Arabidopsis thaliana: one gene and its partners. The protein of the gene in region 4 interacts with the protein of the main gene of each other region in a pairwise test. Each region holds a gene or a part of one and is shown on either strand. Other genes may lie near its edges. The genes, in order: AT2G12646, AT5G56840, ARR3 and AT1G76870.

Region 1 (4,416 bases), on a different chromosome or scaffold from region 4:
ATGTTTGTAGAGAAGTTTTAGGAAATTAGCTCAAATGTTTTATATTAGCATTAAACATCATATTTGATTTTCTTATCCAAAAATAAAAAGTTAAGATATAGTAAATAAAAAAAAACATATCCATACAAATGAGCAAATATGTACTTTAAAATTGTTAAGTAGATGTTGACGGACATGTTGAGGAATATATTTTTGATATGATGATTCATTTAAAAAAAAGAAATATTTTTAAATTTTTATGGAATTTAAAGTTTATATTTGTATTTATTTAAAATAAAAAATAAGAAAATATAATAAAATCATTATTGTTAATTTTACAGTTAAATGAGTTTATATATTTTTTATTTGGTGGAAGATTCTGATTGGTTAGAGAAAAAGGAGGTGAATAAAAGAATTCACCTCTATAAGTAAACCCAAATATTTTTCAAAAATTATAAAACAAGTTAAAAAAATTTGTATCAAACATATTTTACCCAAAACGGAAACAAAAGTTAAAATTATACAAATCATTGCATGTTTAATTATAATTGGCGGTTGTTTTATGCAGAATTGAAATTTTCAACAAAATTTAGTAGAAGATGTAAGATTTGTAAGATAAACTTTAATGTAAATTGCAAGGTAGTATTCCTTAATTTGATTAAACAGCTAATATATAAACATACATTAATACGGTGACGTATAAAATATAATTATCTGCCATAACAAGAAGTACCATTTTAATTGTTTTTTTTTTTACCGGTACCATTTAGACGTTTATGACATTTAAATAGAACAAGTTGGCGTAAGACAGAAGAATCTTTTTCTTGATGTTTTCTTCTTGGGTATTGTAATTAATAAATTACTACCATTATGATTAACCATATGCTCTGTACATTTCTACTCCTATTAGACTGAAATATTATATAATAAAGCATAAAATAAGTTTTTAGTACTAATACCACGACATCAAGAATTTGACGGTGTATAAGTTTCCACGAATCTAAAAATTGGTTCAACCAAAATATATGAGTTTTTAGTAGATAACATTTCTATCGGTAATTAAAGGGTGTAAGGATTGCATTACGAAAATTTGTCGCGTTCATTTTTATCTTTAGCCCAAGTAGGTTGCATTGCATAGCTTCTACTTGGAACACTACTTATTGTAATGTATTACTAGGCAATAATTTGACTAGTCAATCCATATCCATTGTTTATTTAATCTATTATGTCTAAATTTAAGAATCACTAACCTTATATAAATATCTACAACAAGCCTATGTAACTATTTTCTAACAAAGCATACATTACTATTCTATTCACAATGCTTGGACCGATGATACTTAATAGTTTATACTAGTTTTGTATCTTCCTCAATTGGTTAATGAACACCAATATGAGTCTTAACACATCTATCCTTCTCTCTTGTATTTGGTAGATCATAAGAGGAAGAAATAAGGAATTAAAATTGGTGATGGCTACTAGAGACTCTTCTTCACGGAGGGTTTAACCTAATTAAGCTCTTAAGCCAAGGAGATGACCCAATAAATATATGTTTAAAGTAGGAGACACGGAAACAGCTCCCACGTTCCTCACTTTCTCTCTCTTTTTCTTCCCTCTATCTCTCATCTCACCAACACTAATAAACAACAACCAAGTTTATATGATATTTAAAATGTGTAAAAGAGTTATATCTCCGAGGAATAATCAAATATAAGTTTTTTTTTTCTCTCTTTCTCTCTCCCTTGTGATCCTCCATAAATCCTATCATCAAGTACTCCCCTAAAGAATCCTTTTTCTCTTCCTAATATTACTCTTTGTAGTGAGTAGTGGCCAAAAGTTTCCATCTCCCAAAGCTGACTTTCAGTTGAGTCCTCATGGTAGGTTACTACTTCTTCAATTCTATACCATCTTAAGTAGTGAAATTACCTCAATCATCGTACCGAATTCCTTATATTTGTACCCTTTATCCTCATCTTGGCTCCTTGGTACTTAATTATAGATTTAATGGTGGATGTAGGAAACAGTTGAATTATGGTATGAAGTTTTATTTACTTATTTAAGATTGTTTATGAGATAAATATTTTAGAGATTTTGTAAATCATTTGGTAGGGAATTCAGAAACCGGCATGGTTGGATGCGCTATACGCAGAGAAGTTCTTCGTGGGATGTCCATACCATGAGACGGCGAAGAAGAACGAGAGGAACGTGTGTTGTCTTGATTGTTGCACCAGTCTCTGCCCTCACTGTGTACCCTCTCATAGATTCCATAGACTCCTTCAAGTTCGCCGTTATGTGTATCACGACGTTGTTCGGCTTGAAGATCTTCAGAAACTCATCGACTGCTCTAACGTTCAAGTAAGTAATCTATTATACATATATGTATTATCTCATATCTATATATGTATATAAATGGATTGGGTGTTGAATTGTGGATAGGCTTATACAATAAATAGTGCAAAAGTGGTGTTCATCAAGAAGAGACCACAAAATAGACAATTCAAAGGAGCTGGCAACTATTGCACTTCTTGTGACCGAAGTCTTCAAGAACCTTATATCCATTGCTCCTTGGGTTGTAAGGTTATTTCATCTTAACTATATATTACTTCTACATAATATTTGACTCAATTCTACTTGACTATATGATTCGCACTTAGCATATATATAAAATAATTAAATTATGTGATAGTCTAAACTTTATAGATGATTCGTTTCTATGATAGAAACACATGTTCCCCTTTTAACTCGTCCACAAATAGAAATACGAATACATCAACAGGATACTACAACAAGTATACTACCAAATACCCTGATTTTTGTTTTTCAAACGTAAAACATTTTTTATTTTACTTTTGGTTAAAATATTCACACTTTTTTTTTAGTTATCTAACCTGGCTGTCCTTTAAAATGTTTTCAACCCGTAAAGTTTGTTAGTTTCCGCAGATGAGAATCTCAAGAAAAAAAAAAGGATTTATTAAATAACCCGTATATGGCTCGATTTTGAAATCTTGTCCTTCTGAACTAATGTATTTAACAAAAAAAAAAACATGAAGAAATTCTATAAAGGGGAGGCTAACTTTTTTAATAAATAAGTCTATCATTGACCTTGCCATTGGAACTTGGAACTATGTAAATTTGGTGCATAAATACTGTAAATACTCCCATATCATTTGAGCTAGTGGTTTGGCCCTAAGTGTTTTAAGAAACCACCACACTTTCAAATCTTTTCAATGTTGCACTTTGTAATAAATATATCATGTTCTCAGAATAACATCTAAGCTTTTTGAGCATGTAGTAATCTATGTGATTATATAAAAGGTTTTGGTTTATATACATGTAGGTGGACTTTGTGATGAAACGTTACAGGGACATAACCCCATTCCTCAAGCCATGCCACACTCTAACCCTAGGTCCTGACTACATCATCCCACAAGACTTACTGACAGATGATGAAGTGGCGGCCTACGAGACTCCTCGATCAACTGTGGTAGACGGCGATGAGTCCATGAGCTGGTCCTCAGCTTCCTCGGATAACAACAATGCGGGTGCGGCGGCTGCTTATGCCGCAACCACCACCCATGTCGTGAGGAAAAAAAGGACTGGTTTTTGCCTTTGCGCTAAATCGGCTAATAGTTATAAAGAAGTTTCGGAGGATCCTGACGATATTTCTGCTTGCATCAATCGGCGAAAAGGCGTTCCTCAACGATCTCCTCTCTGTTAACGTACTCTTTTCTTCTTTGTTTTTGTTTTCTAATCTTCTTTATTAGTTTCTTTTCACCATATAGTCTTATATGTTACATGTATGGATTCTTGTCGTGCGGTCTCTCTAATAAAGTTTATAATCAGTTTTTTATTTTATTTTATTTTGCTTACGTAGATATTAGTTTAGCATACCTTATAAATTCATAAGAAAAAAATTATCTTATCGCATAATAATATGTTTCTTCTACTCTGGTATCCTCAATATCCCTAAAAGGCCTCAGCCAAGTATTTCTTTTGTCACTTAATATATATCTAACCTAGGTTGAAGTCAATGTAATTTGTCTTTGACATATGAAATTGTACATTTTCGGCTTTCATAGCTTAGATTATCGTTTCAGATTAAATAATATGGAGAATCTGAAATATGAAATTAGATTTGTTTTGGACAGCTCTGATGGTGACTCACGTGGCTCCTAATTCCGAGCTGTGGGATCTTTCATGTTGTTCTAATATTGTTTTTTCATAAGAGCTAATTTTTTTCTACTCATTTTATATATATAAAATACTAAAACTTGAACCCACGAGATTCTCAAAACAATATTATAAATATATACATATATATTTTAAATTGATATTTATTTTTATATTTGTAATTTATGTTAAATATAATAAATATAACTAATTCTGAAAAAATCAGACAGAATCCTATCAATATTGTGAAATAAATTAAGTATTGAT
Region 2 (4,053 bases), on a different chromosome or scaffold from region 4:
GTTTTAAACCAAATTTTGTGTGAAAAGAGGAAGTATATATCAAAATCATAAATAATATAATATCTTGTCGTCCAGTCACTTTGGGTCATTTCCAATAGTAGTGTCACTATTAAACAACTTGCACTAAATATAGAAATGTAAAAAATGTGACCTTTTTGTTTCTTTTTTCTTTTTCGCCAACAACAAAATTATAACAATTCTGAGAAAGACCCTTGGTTTTGTGTTAAAGTGGATTCAGTGTTAAATATTATTGAGCTCTTGTGGACTCAATATCAGTTCTTAAAGTTATCTTTACATTATGTTTGAAACTCGTGTTTATTGTTTTATTAACAGAAAACTAACAATGTGAAAGTATTCTGTTAAAAACGAAATTTTAAAAGTATTCTAAATTTTTAGATATGTTAAAAGTATTCTAAATTTTTGAAACACATTTCGAAAAGAATATTTTTTTTAAAAACGAATCTTGAAATATTTAATGAACTAGAAAACAAGAAACTTCAAACAAGTTGTACTATGTACAAAATTGTCTTATCCGTTCTAATTCTATCGTAAGAAACTTTCTTATTAAAAGTATAATAGGAATATTGAAACTTTTATGAGCGCTAGATATATATACCTTAAATATAAAGTTTTACAGAAATATGTATGGATCCAACTTCCAAGACAAAAAATCTCACAATGAAAAAACCAAAAAAACAATATCGACGAAATTATCAAAGTAACTAACGTTAAATCAAAATCAAATTAGATAGGATCGATAAGATATTATATATGTAAACATTTGAATTATTCTAATGAAACTGATCATAACGTGTTATATAGATTCACGTAACGCTAATAGGTCTAATATTCGATTCAGGAGATTGAATGGACGCAAGCTTCAGCTCAAGATCGAGTCCACCGGAGTTACCCGAGCCGGATACTGATACTTTCGGATCTGGATATCCAAGACGAGGATTGAGTAATCCTTGTTTCCAAACAACCTTTGAGCTCGACCCAATATGATCATTACATATCCTCTTAGTAGTACTATTTTCTTCAACATTGCCGGCCGAAACCTGTTGAATATAAAAATTTGTCAATTCAAGATTATTTTCTATTTTTTTCTTCGGATTCTACAAGAAATTATATGTTCATATATACTTGGTATTAAAATAAAGCTTAGATTAAACTTAAAATCTTGACTAATTTTTGGTTTAGAAAATTCCGATATTTTAAGTGGGAAAAAAAAACTTGGAAAGAAAACTTTTAAAACAACATAAAAATTCTGTTTGAACTTTTGAAGATGTGACTTTTGTTGGATACAGAAACATTTTGATTTAATACATAAAAGTTTGATACAAAGAGTTTAAATTCTTTTGTCATGCATGTATAGAGAAAAGATTGGAATTACTTGCCATATCAAAGAGGCTGGTGCGGCGTCTCTTGTGATGGAGAGTGGTAGTTTGCCGGAGAAAGTATTTTTGAGCATGACTTGCCACTTGTGTCGGGGATTTTGTGACGACGAAGTTTCTAGAGATTCCTCTCCAATCTCCTTTTCCAAGCTTTTCTAATCCAATTAGAAACGTCCGGTGCTCTTCCGCCGTCCATGGAACCCCTAATTACGGAAACACAAATTATTATTTTTGGAAAAACTTTTAACAAAATCCTAGGCTAAAGATCGCGTTATAGACACATCATTTTCTTGACTACTCTTATATATATAGCGGTTGCATGCTTTAGGAAATGGTCCGACTTGGATATACGTACAAAATCTTTATGGCAAAACCAATCCCACCGATGACCAGTTTAACATGTTTTGATCTCCGATACAAATCGATTATGGGCCTAATACCCGGAACTTTTGGATTAATAAAAAAACGTCACTATCCTATTGTAAAAAAAAACTCGGAAAGTGGCATAATATGTCAAAGTTGTAACCTTTTTTGCGGTCAGGTGTTTTATGGGCGAGACCATCGGAGAGATAACCAGCAAAGGAAGAGGAAGAGGAGGAACATGCCGGCAAGCAATCCATGCTGAAACTTTTCTTTATTGCAGCGGCCAAAATCGAGGGAGGAGGAGGAGGCGGCGGAGAAGAGCTTGTGGTGTCTAGATGAACACCAAAGAGCCTAACTACTCTTGTTTGGTAAGAAGAACATGTTCTTGAGTTATGTCCTACGTTTCCACAGTGTGAGCATCTTCTGCCCATTGCAATGAATGAGAAAGAGAAGGAGGGACAGCGAGATAGAGAAAGAGAGATGATGTTGATGAATGATGATGATGAAGAGAGATTTTGGGGTTTATGTAAAATGGTGGAGAGCACAGAGAAATAAGATGATTGGATAAACCAAGTTTTATTTATTGGAGGGTTTTATAATTTAAATGATGTTGTCCAAGTTGGTGTTTTCTACTTTTAGCCAATAAGAAGACAAGCTTACGTATAAAAAACAAAAGAGGAAAATATGTCTTTATAAGTGGAAATTTATCACTAATATGGACTAGCTACAAAATGTTAATTCTAATCTAATTAATTTGTCTCACAAATATGAAATATTCATTTATCTTTCACATAGTCTATATTTTGCTTCTTCTTCTCATATGTATGCTTTATAGAATAGAATGAGGTAGCCATAACAATAATGGAATCTATGTGTATTAAATAATAAAGGCTATCCTTTTGCAAAGGAAATATAAGATATATGGTTGAGAGAGAGAGGACTTGGATCCTCCAATAGTTTTGGGGAGGTGGGTAGTTGGATGACCTAATAAAAATGTGGAAAGAAACATAACAAAAATATAATTTACAAATTTGTAAAATAGAGAAACAAACAACAAAGTGGTCTTGTTTACATGAACAAAGACAAGTCTTATTTATTTCTTGTTTTTGTTTGATATAAATAATGAAATAATTTGGATCTTATAATATTTTCAATATATTAGTTGGACGGAAGAGTCATCGTATACATATTTTTATTTAAAGATTGCCTGATTTGCTCAAATATTGTAATCGATAATGTTATTAATTACTAGTAGACAAAGCACTACCCAACATGCATTTATCTATGAATTGTTTATGGTTAGAATTGGTAAAAAGCAATATGGAGATTCTATTGCTACATTCGGAATGAAGAGCAAGTATAGGAGAACAATGATGATGATTCATATTTGATCATATAAAATAATGTATAGTATGAATCTATAATGGGGGTACTCGCATTCATCATATAAATTAAAATTAACTTTAGAGTCATAGCCTACGATCATTTCTAATTTGAATACTGAATGTGGATTCATGTTGATTCTATCCCACATACATATAATATGACAAGATGGGGTATTCATGTTGATGTACTATAATAATCTATTTAATGTTGATTATATCTTCTTCTACATACATAAAGATAATATGACTGGGATTCATTTTTAAGATTCGACTAATTAAAATATATTAAATGTTGATTCATATAGGACAATGATGGGGATTCATATTTCATCACATAAATAGTATATTATTGTTGATTTGATCCTAATGGCTACTTAATTCTGGTCCAATGAAGTTTGTTTTTGGTGAGGTAGGTCAATTTGTTTTACAAAAATTTACTAAACATATTCTAAAGATGTTGCTCACTATATCATATATTATTGAAGGAAAAAAACTACCAAATTAGAACATTATGCAAATGCTCTTCATCCACAATAACAGCACACATCACATTCTTTTGATCTCTAAATCGATACTTCTCTGTTTTTCTCTGTTTTAAGAGGTGACAAAATATAATAAGTCTCTGTTTCGAGTAAGAAGTCTCACAATTACCAAAAGTTGAAGTCCACAATTTATGCAAAGACGAATTTTATGAATGAATCCATGATCAGTAATTAATCAACTTTCAGGAACACCAAACAAAGAAAAAACCAAAACCAAACAAAAATAAACAAAACTACTTTTTCTTCAAGTAGTGTTTCTCCATAGACTCGATCACTTTTGTCATCTCCTCCTCATAAGATTCGGAGTGTGCTAACACATGATCTTTCTGCTGCATTAACATCATCATTTGTTTTTGCATCTGCATTAGC
Region 3 (3,720 bases), 6.8 Mb from region 4:
TAGATATGATTCATATGAATCATAATTAATCCCCATAATACCATGGTTATTCAACCGTTTTCATTTCTAATTCGTAGCCATGCATGCGTGACCACATGGTCATGGTTTAGCGACATGTGATTGTGAAATATGTGGTCGTAGTCACCAACTTAGCCACTACCTATTCAATGATTAAAATTAAAAAGACCACCAACATGTTCAACATAAGTTGTTAGTTATTATAGGTGTAAATATTACAAGCCGAGTTTCAATAGTATGTGTAGTTTGCAAATGATTTTATTACTATTTTGTGTAGTCTTCTCTAATAGACAGTTATCACACAAAAATTAGTGGTAGCTAGAGTAAGTAGTTGAAAATATTCATAGAAGCCATGCGGAATATTTGAGAGTACATTTTCAAAAATATATCATAATAATACAAGATTTGGTTCTTAATATCAAAGACTATAGATTAAAGAAAAGTATCCTCAAGTCGGTACATTATTGGATATCATACTATCAAATAAATGCTAATCGCTGGCAAAATCTCAAAAGTGATTAGCAGACGATATGAATACACAGAGGTAAACTGTCACACATTATTTGATTATTATGATATTATTAGAAATAGAAACATTATTTAATTTTAAAATTATCAAATATACGTAATTAAATAAATACAATACTTGTTTTTATAAAAGTTCCTTCGTGAGCAAAGAGACCCCACGTGCAACGATATAAAAAGAGAGAGAGAGATCTATAAGTATAAACTGACGGCGTTCAAGTCAACGTTGCAGTCAATAAAACCGTCAAAAGTAAAAAGTTAACGGAGATCGTTATCACACGGATCTCTCTAAGCTAATCCGGGACTCCTCATCGGCGAATCCACAAGCGAAGTTGCAGACTCCGGCGACATTGTCAACGAATCTTCATCGTCAACCATAGACAGAGGCGATTCCACCGTAGAGTCCGAAGATTCCATCGAGGATGTGGCTGAGAGCGGAGGCGGCGGCGGTGGAGTGGTCAGCTTCCGTTTGTTTCCTTCGGCGGCGACTTTAACGTCTCTCGTCAAGTAACTCCTCAGACGTTTCACGTCGGCGAGTTTCACCGGTTTTAGTAAAAAATCCTCCGCACCTTCTTCAAGACATCTACAACAGATTTATTGATTAAATTTCCGATCACCAAAATCGGAATCAAAAAAAAAAGATTCCGGCGAGAGATTTGACCTGTCGATACGAGTCATTACATTCTCCGACGACATAATTACAACAGGAACTTCCTTAAAACTTGTCGATTCCTGTTTTTTAAGAAAATCAAGAATTGAAAAAAAAAAAAAGTAACAGAATTTGTTTTTATGGCGGGAAAATTTCAGAAACCTTAATCTTTTTCAGAAGCTCGTATCCAGTCATTCCAGGCATACAGTAATCAGTGATGATCAAATCCACCTTCAATCTCTGGTAAAAATAAAGATCAAGATCAGAATCTAGAATCTCAAAATGTTTTAAAACAGAGTTATGAGAGATTACATCGAATTCGACGGCGGCTTTGTCGTCGTCTAATCCTAAGAATTCGAGAGCACGCCATCCGCTATCAACCGCCGTGACTGCATTGAATCATCGCCGGAGAATAAGGCTTTTAAAATGTTAAAGGGGAAAGAGGAAGAATTACTAGTTAAGAAACCTTTGCAGGATGTGATTCGAAGCAATCTTTCGATGACTATTCGATCAACTAGGCTGTCATCAACGGCGAGAACGTGGACTTGATCAGAATCTAGCGGCGGAGATTCAAGTTCTCCGATTCCTATACCGATCATCTCCGACCTTCGTAGACAAGAAACGCCACCGTCTTTGGCCATAGTGAGAAAAGAGTAGGAAATGAAAAGATAGAAGAGAGATATTGCTACTAGTTCCTCTCTACTTTGTTTTATATTTTCGTTGTTATACTCTTCTATATCAAATCTTTTTATAGGTGGATCATTTTCTACTTCATTTCTTTTACAAAATATTTTCTTATTCCAAGTGACGATTAATGACACAAAACGGTACGTACCTTTTTTTCTTTTTTGGGATGGGGGCAGCAAGAAATAGCGAACTAATCTGAATAGGTAAAGAAAGATAAATTCGAAGTTCATGATAAGATATAGATAGAAAGTACCGGTTTTGCTTCTTCTTACTTTTAGGATTGGTACTAAATAGATATACTTGGATTACCAACCAAACCCATAACAAGGGTTGTTTGGTATGTATGTTACTGATTTAATGTTCAAATTCGTCTTTTTGTTTCTCACATGTACTATGCTTTTGTTGTTGTTGTTGTTGTTGTTAAAAACACATTTACTATGTTCAGAAAATGATTTTTATTTTCTTCTCTCTATTTTGATGGACCCTTGAGCTTAATTTGAAGAAAAATCTAATGCATAGCTATGTCTTGTCTCCACTTATAAATACAAACTCTTAGACCATCATAAAATATGATGACCAAAACCATAACAAGTAAATAAAAAGGTTTATAGACAAAGTGAAAGAAACATAAAATCCAAAATCAAGCTTTCGTTTTCTATCAGAAATCCCGTTCAGAAAGACTTTATCGCAATGATGAACAGAGGTTTTTCACAAGATATTGTACATATCATTATGTGATTAATTTAGATGTTTAAAGATTTTGGGGTCCATGTAACATGCTTTGAAAGAAGCTTAAATATTAAAAAAAAAAAAAAAAAGATAAAAGAAAAGGAGAAACATTTCAAACTCAAAATTGCTCTTAAAAGACTTGCATATTCACAAAAGAAAAAAATAAGAAGAAACATTTCTCAAGGTTATAAATTAGAAATGCAACTTTACAAACTAAATAATCAAGACATTTATTTTACAACTACAACATTTATGAAGGTTATACATTGGAAATGCAACTTAACAAAACAAATTAATGCAACTTTACAAACTAAATAATCAAGACATTATATTACAACTGCCCCATAATTCACACATAGTGATCAGATCTCACCGTCCCACATCTCGGTGACAGATTTTATAGGACCTTTCTCCGAGATGTAAACCTCTCCGTCAACGATCCTGCTCTGAGAAATCTCCGTCGAGATTCTCTGTTTCTCCTCCTCTGTCAAAGACCAATCAAATATCTTCAGATTCTCTTCCAATCTGTCTTTCCTAAAGCTCTTCACCACCATGCTCACTCCTTCCTCGTAAGCCCATCTCATACTCACCTAGTCAATTGTCTATTACAACTCTAAAAATGAGCTTTAAATACTTTCATTCCCCAAAACTTCTCCACATCACTCTATTACCCGTTTAAAGAGTGAGTTTTTTTTTTTTTTTTTTTTGGGTCAACGAGAGTGAGTGCACAATATAAAAATGTATCAAACAAATAAATAAGTCAATAGTCCAAAATTAAATATCGCATAAAGATAGTTTTAGCCATTATCACAATAAAAATAAAACTAATTTTCAAATGAATATAACAATGACTTTTGTTTACCGATTTGTTAAAATATTTTCTGTAATTAACAAAATTTTCCTTTAAATTACGACTGTTTTTTTTAATATTTATACGTTAAAAGAAATTTAAAAATGTTTTCGTAAATAATTTTAAAACTGTCTTTGGAGAGTACCTGAGCTACTGTTTTTCCCTTTGCCTCAGCAATTTCTTTGAGAACATCAGACTCCATGATTTTGTGAGTTCCCCAAAACGCTCCTCTCGATCCCAACACCGAATAAGCTGTCACAAC
Region 4 (4,396 bases):
TGTATATAGTGAAAGCTAAAAGACACTTGTACACTTGTTCTCTAACAATATCCTTAACTTGAGATAGAAACTCATCAAGATCCCCCTCAAATACCTATAAAGTTAACTATTGAGTAAGAAAAAGCACGTACCCGAACAATCTCTTCATATGTCTCGTCATCGATTTCTACTGTAGTGATAGTTTCTTCAACATCACCCAGAATCATATTCAAATGCTGATCAAACGCCTGCCCAAAGAATTAACAACAACAACAACATCAAACCTAAGTGAGTAACTCAAGAGTGTAGAAATCTTCCAAAATTTAAGAACTTTGTCAAAATTAAATTTACACAAACCATAAATTCCCAATTGCAAGCTCATCGCCATAACTCGAGAAAACGTTTTTAGAAACTGAAACTTGAAAATCAAAACCCTAGACTTTCCCCCAAAAAAGGACCAAATTCGACACCAAAACAGTGAAATCGGCAAAATAAAGTTACAAAATTCAAACGAACTATGTGTGGAACGAGTATTTTAAGTAGTGACAAGTTCAAGGTACTAAGCAGGGCACAAGAAAACGTACGTGAAGCTTGCCGCGAAGTTCGCGGTCTGACCGGAGCTTGACATAGATTCTCTCGTCGAGACTCAGCCTAATCAGATCTAGTGGCTCCCTCACGGTGGCTTCTTCCTCGCCGGACATCGTGTAGACAGAGATACCTTCCCACCTGAAACACTTCTCGGAGGGTTTTGGTACCGACGAATCGTATAACCGGACACAAACTCTGATCTCGCGGACACGAACTTAACAATTTTGTTCTACGAATAAGATTTTACAAATATATGGCAACAGCCCAACAGAATATTAGGCCCATAAACGAACGTTGGCGAAAAAATGTTTTTTTTTTCAAAACTATCGGCATATTTTATTATTTCAAAGATTATCAATGGGTTCTACTAGCTAGGTTCTACTTCTACCTTGAGAAAATTGAGTTGAGGTCTTGTATGTATAGATATTTCAGTAAACAAATATTAATGTTAGATTTTAATTTTAAAATGTAAATTAAGATATTAAATTTGACGTTTTGTACTTCGATTCGTTTGTTTTCTACTTACAAGCGTTTCACAACTTTTTTCGAGTTGTAACGCTTGACAGTTTCACAAAGTAAGCATACGTGTAAAATAGAATCATTTATTGTGACTAATGTTTTTAACCAAATATGGTATCTTCTAAAACGTGATACCAATCACTTTTTAATCACTATATACAAATTTAAGTTTAATATATTTATATATAAATTTATAACTTTTTTTTATCTGAATTGTAACACTTATTGGTTCCATAAAATAAATATATGTGCGAGAGTATAATAACTTGGACATGATTTGGTGATGAAATTCTACAATATTGTGTTTTTAAAACTCACATTGTATCTACTAAATTTAAATTAATATAAATTTATATGTCCAAACTAAGATAACATAAATTTAAACAATATAGAAGAAGAACGACACTATTGTTAATAATTCGATAAGATACTAAAAAAAAAAAAAATATACACTTTTTAACCTTTTTAATGTGAATTGTAACGCTTCTACAAAATAAGCACACGTGTAAGAGTATAAAAACTTATTGTGGATTTAGTAATGAATCATGAAATGTTGTATTAATGATTCAATAAGGAAGTAAAAAAAAAAAGTTTAAAAAAAAAAACTAATACTTAGATTTCCCTTGACAATCATATCTTTTAATATATAAAAAAACATATAAATTTCAGTTATTTCAAAATTCAAATTCATACTCTACCCATAGTGACTACCAAAATCAATCGTAAATAAATAAATAAAAAAGAAATGGTGGGTCCAAATATCTTCTGATACATTGGACATAAATAACTTTTGTGATTTGTCACTAAAAAAGATTTAGAAACAAGACTCTCTTCTTCTTCTTCCTCTAAATGTTTTGTCCGCCACACGCATTGTCTCAGTGATCAGAGTTCTTCGTCTCTCTACTTGAACTCTCATCTCTAAAACCCTAGACTCTCTCGTCTTCAATCGTTTTAAAAAGGTCCGTTTAGTTTTAGCATGAAATTTTCTCTAAAGATAAGTTTTTTTTTTCGTCTTTTGTTAGCGATGTTTTATAGTTTATCGAATTCGTAGTGTTTGATTGCGATTGCTCTGTTTACAAGCTTACTTTGATCGGATGATTTAGGTTTCATATTTGGAGAAATCCATCTAAGAAAAGTTTGATTTTGAGGAGAAAGACTGAATTTTTATTTTCTCTGATTCAGATTTTTCTTTTGGAAACTGTAGAAATGGAAGGAAATTGCTCGCAAGGACGCTTTGATTCTCAAGTTTCTTCTATGAGAGATCTTCGTCCAAATGCTATAAATCAGAATCAGAAACAACACCATCCAAATTCTCGACAAGACTCAGGCTTTAACAATACTATGGATACACGTCACAACAATGTCGACAGAGGAAAGAAATCAATGAGTGAAGATGATGAACTATGTTTGTTAAGTAGTGATGGTCAAAACAAGTCCAAGGAAAACTCTCCTTGGCAACGTGTGAAATGGATGGATAAGATGGTGAAGCTAATGATAACTGCTCTTTCTTATATCGGTGAAGACTCTGGTTCTGATAAGAAATTTGCAGTTTTGCAGAAGAAAGGTAAGTGGAGATCAGTTTCTAAAGTCATGGATGAAAGAGGTTATCATGTTTCGCCGCAGCAATGTGAAGATAAGTTTAATGATCTTAATAAGCGGTATAAGAAGCTTAATGAGATGCTTGGTAGAGGAACTTCTTGTGAGGTTGTTGAGAATCCTTCACTCTTGGATAAGATTGATTACTTGAATGAGAAAGAGAAAGATGAAGTTAGGAGAATCATGAGCTCTAAACATCTTTTCTATGAAGAGATGTGTTCTTATCATAACGGAAACAGATTGCATTTGCCTCATGACCCTGCGGTACAGAGATCTCTTCACTTGATTACGCTTGGAAGCCGTGATGATCATGATAATGATGAACATGGGAAACACCAAAACGAAGATCTTGATGATGATGATGACTATGAGGAAGATCATGATGGAGCTTTAAGTGACCGTCCTTTGAAGAGGTTAAGACAAAGCCAGAGCCATGAAGATGTTGGTCATCCGAATAAGGGTTATGATGTCCCTTGCTTGCCTCGTTCCCAAGCTGATGTGAATCGAGGAATATCGCTAGATAGTAGGAAAGCTGCTGGCTTACAGAGGCAGCAGATTGAGTCTAAGTCTTTAGAGTTAGAAGGACGAAAGCTTCAGATTCAAGCGGAGATGATGGAACTGGAGAGACAACAATTCAAGTGGGAGGTGTTTAGTAAGAGAAGAGAGCAGAAGCTTGCGAAAATGAGAATGGAAAACGAAAGGATGAAACTTGAGAATGAAAGGATGAGTCTTGAACTGAAACGAATAGAGTTGGGTGCTAAATTGTGAAGAGTCTTAGGAATTAAGGATCAAAGAAATTAATCAGAAAAAGTTGCAACAATGATTGGCAATCTAATCAGTTGCTTAACTTTGCAGTAGACATTATTATTAGCTAAGGTTTAAAGTTTGAGGTAAGAAATATTTTCATATTTTCAGATGTAATATTCTTATAGAAAGTGGTTCTGTTCTCTATGCTTGATTATGTCCTCATTGTCCTGTAAGTATCAACGACAGTGACAAGAACTGAGAGTAACTATTCAAAACTCCAACCTCTAAATTGGCTCTCTTTAGCCTTGGAGCTTTTAGGTAATTGAAGAATCTTTTATTTTCATAGGCGGAAAAAGAAACCTAAAGCTTGGGCCAAAAATGTTGTTTGGGCTAGTAAGAAGAAACAAATTAGGCCATGCCATTATGCTTAGTTGCTTACTGATGTAATACCCACTTGAATAAAAGGAAACTTTCATGACTTTTTTTTTATAATCAAGCCTTTCGTAACAAAGTGAAATAAGAAATGTGTGATCGAAATTTCAGAAAAAAGGCAAAAGAAGAATGTGAAGTTTGTGTTTTTTTTTTTATCCATCTTTCACCTCTTTATTGCCCTTTCCTTGTTCACAAGAGCCTCTCCGAGCTCTCTCTTTATCTTTCAAATTTGTTTTGCCTTTTCTTCTTTTCATTTCTTTTTTTTCCATATTATCATTACAAAAATGGTTCTTATTTGACCAAGAACGCATTAAAAGATGACATTCACTTATATTTGAAGGGAAATTCGTAAAATCAACATTTTAACAGTGAATTTGCTTCAGTCGTACATTAAAAACAAACAAGCTTTTATTTGACGCTATTATTACCTTCAAATTTTCATGTTCCAACTCCAACTCATCACCTAATTTTTAATCTTTAAAATTACCTTTTTAAGCTAGATAAATCAGAGGCTAATGACAACATCAAAGTACAC

What was found.
Region 1: the proteins of AT1G76870 (region 4) and AT2G12646 interact in a two-hybrid assay, tested with the Arabidopsis thaliana proteins (one large-scale study listed by BioGRID).
Region 2: the proteins of AT1G76870 (region 4) and AT5G56840 interact in a two-hybrid assay, tested with the Arabidopsis thaliana proteins (one large-scale study listed by BioGRID).
Region 3: the proteins of AT1G76870 (region 4) and ARR3 interact in a two-hybrid assay, tested with the Arabidopsis thaliana proteins (one large-scale study listed by BioGRID).

Annotation. Positions count from the first base shown.
Region 1 is NC_003071.7:5,166,460-5,170,875, reverse strand, and holds AT2G12646 (PLATZ transcription factor family protein), read left to right. Parts: upstream 1-1,572; 5' UTR 1,573-1,853; coding exon 1,854-1,856; exon of another isoform or gene 1,857-2,010; coding exon of another isoform or gene 2,011-2,013; intron 2,014-2,088; coding exon 2,089-2,334; intron 2,335-2,415; coding exon 2,416-2,556; intron 2,557-3,316; coding exon 3,317-3,697; 3' UTR 3,698-3,892; downstream 3,893-4,416. UniProt on the Arabidopsis thaliana protein: Probable transcription factor that plays a central role in mediating RGF1 hormone peptide signaling leading to the production of reactive oxygen species (ROS) in roots to modulate meristem size and root growth, probably via oxidative post-translational modification of the transcription factor PLETHORA (e.g.
Region 2 is NC_003076.8:22,978,924-22,982,976, reverse strand, and holds AT5G56840 (myb-like transcription factor family protein), read right to left. Parts: upstream 2,340-4,053; 5' UTR 2,189-2,339; coding exon 1,921-2,188; intron 1,598-1,920; coding exon 1,398-1,597; intron 1,059-1,397; coding exon 825-1,058; 3' UTR 552-824; downstream 1-551.
Region 3 is NC_003070.9:22,065,063-22,068,782, forward strand, and holds ARR3 (response regulator 3), read right to left. Parts: upstream 2,172-3,720; 5' UTR 2,110-2,171; coding exon 1,659-2,109; intron 1,582-1,658; coding exon 1,505-1,581; intron 1,433-1,504; coding exon 1,355-1,432; intron 1,276-1,354; coding exon 1,205-1,275; intron 1,127-1,204; coding exon 832-1,126; 3' UTR 555-831; downstream 1-554. Other genes in the region: AT1G59950 (NAD(P)-linked oxidoreductase superfamily protein), read right to left, coding at 2,971-3,198, 3,604-3,720. UniProt on the Arabidopsis thaliana protein: Functions as a response regulator involved in His-to-Asp phosphorelay signal transduction system. Phosphorylation of the Asp residue in the receiver domain activates the ability of the protein to promote the transcription of target genes.
Region 4 is NC_003070.9:28,854,958-28,859,353, forward strand, and holds AT1G76870 (transcription factor), read left to right. Parts: upstream 1-1,881; 5' UTR 1,882-2,045; intron 2,046-2,268; exon of another isoform or gene 2,269-2,290; 5' UTR 2,291-2,292; coding exon 2,293-3,450; 3' UTR 3,451-3,894; downstream 3,895-4,396. Other genes in the region: LSM3B (Small nuclear ribonucleoprotein family protein), read right to left, coding at 132-227, 564-680.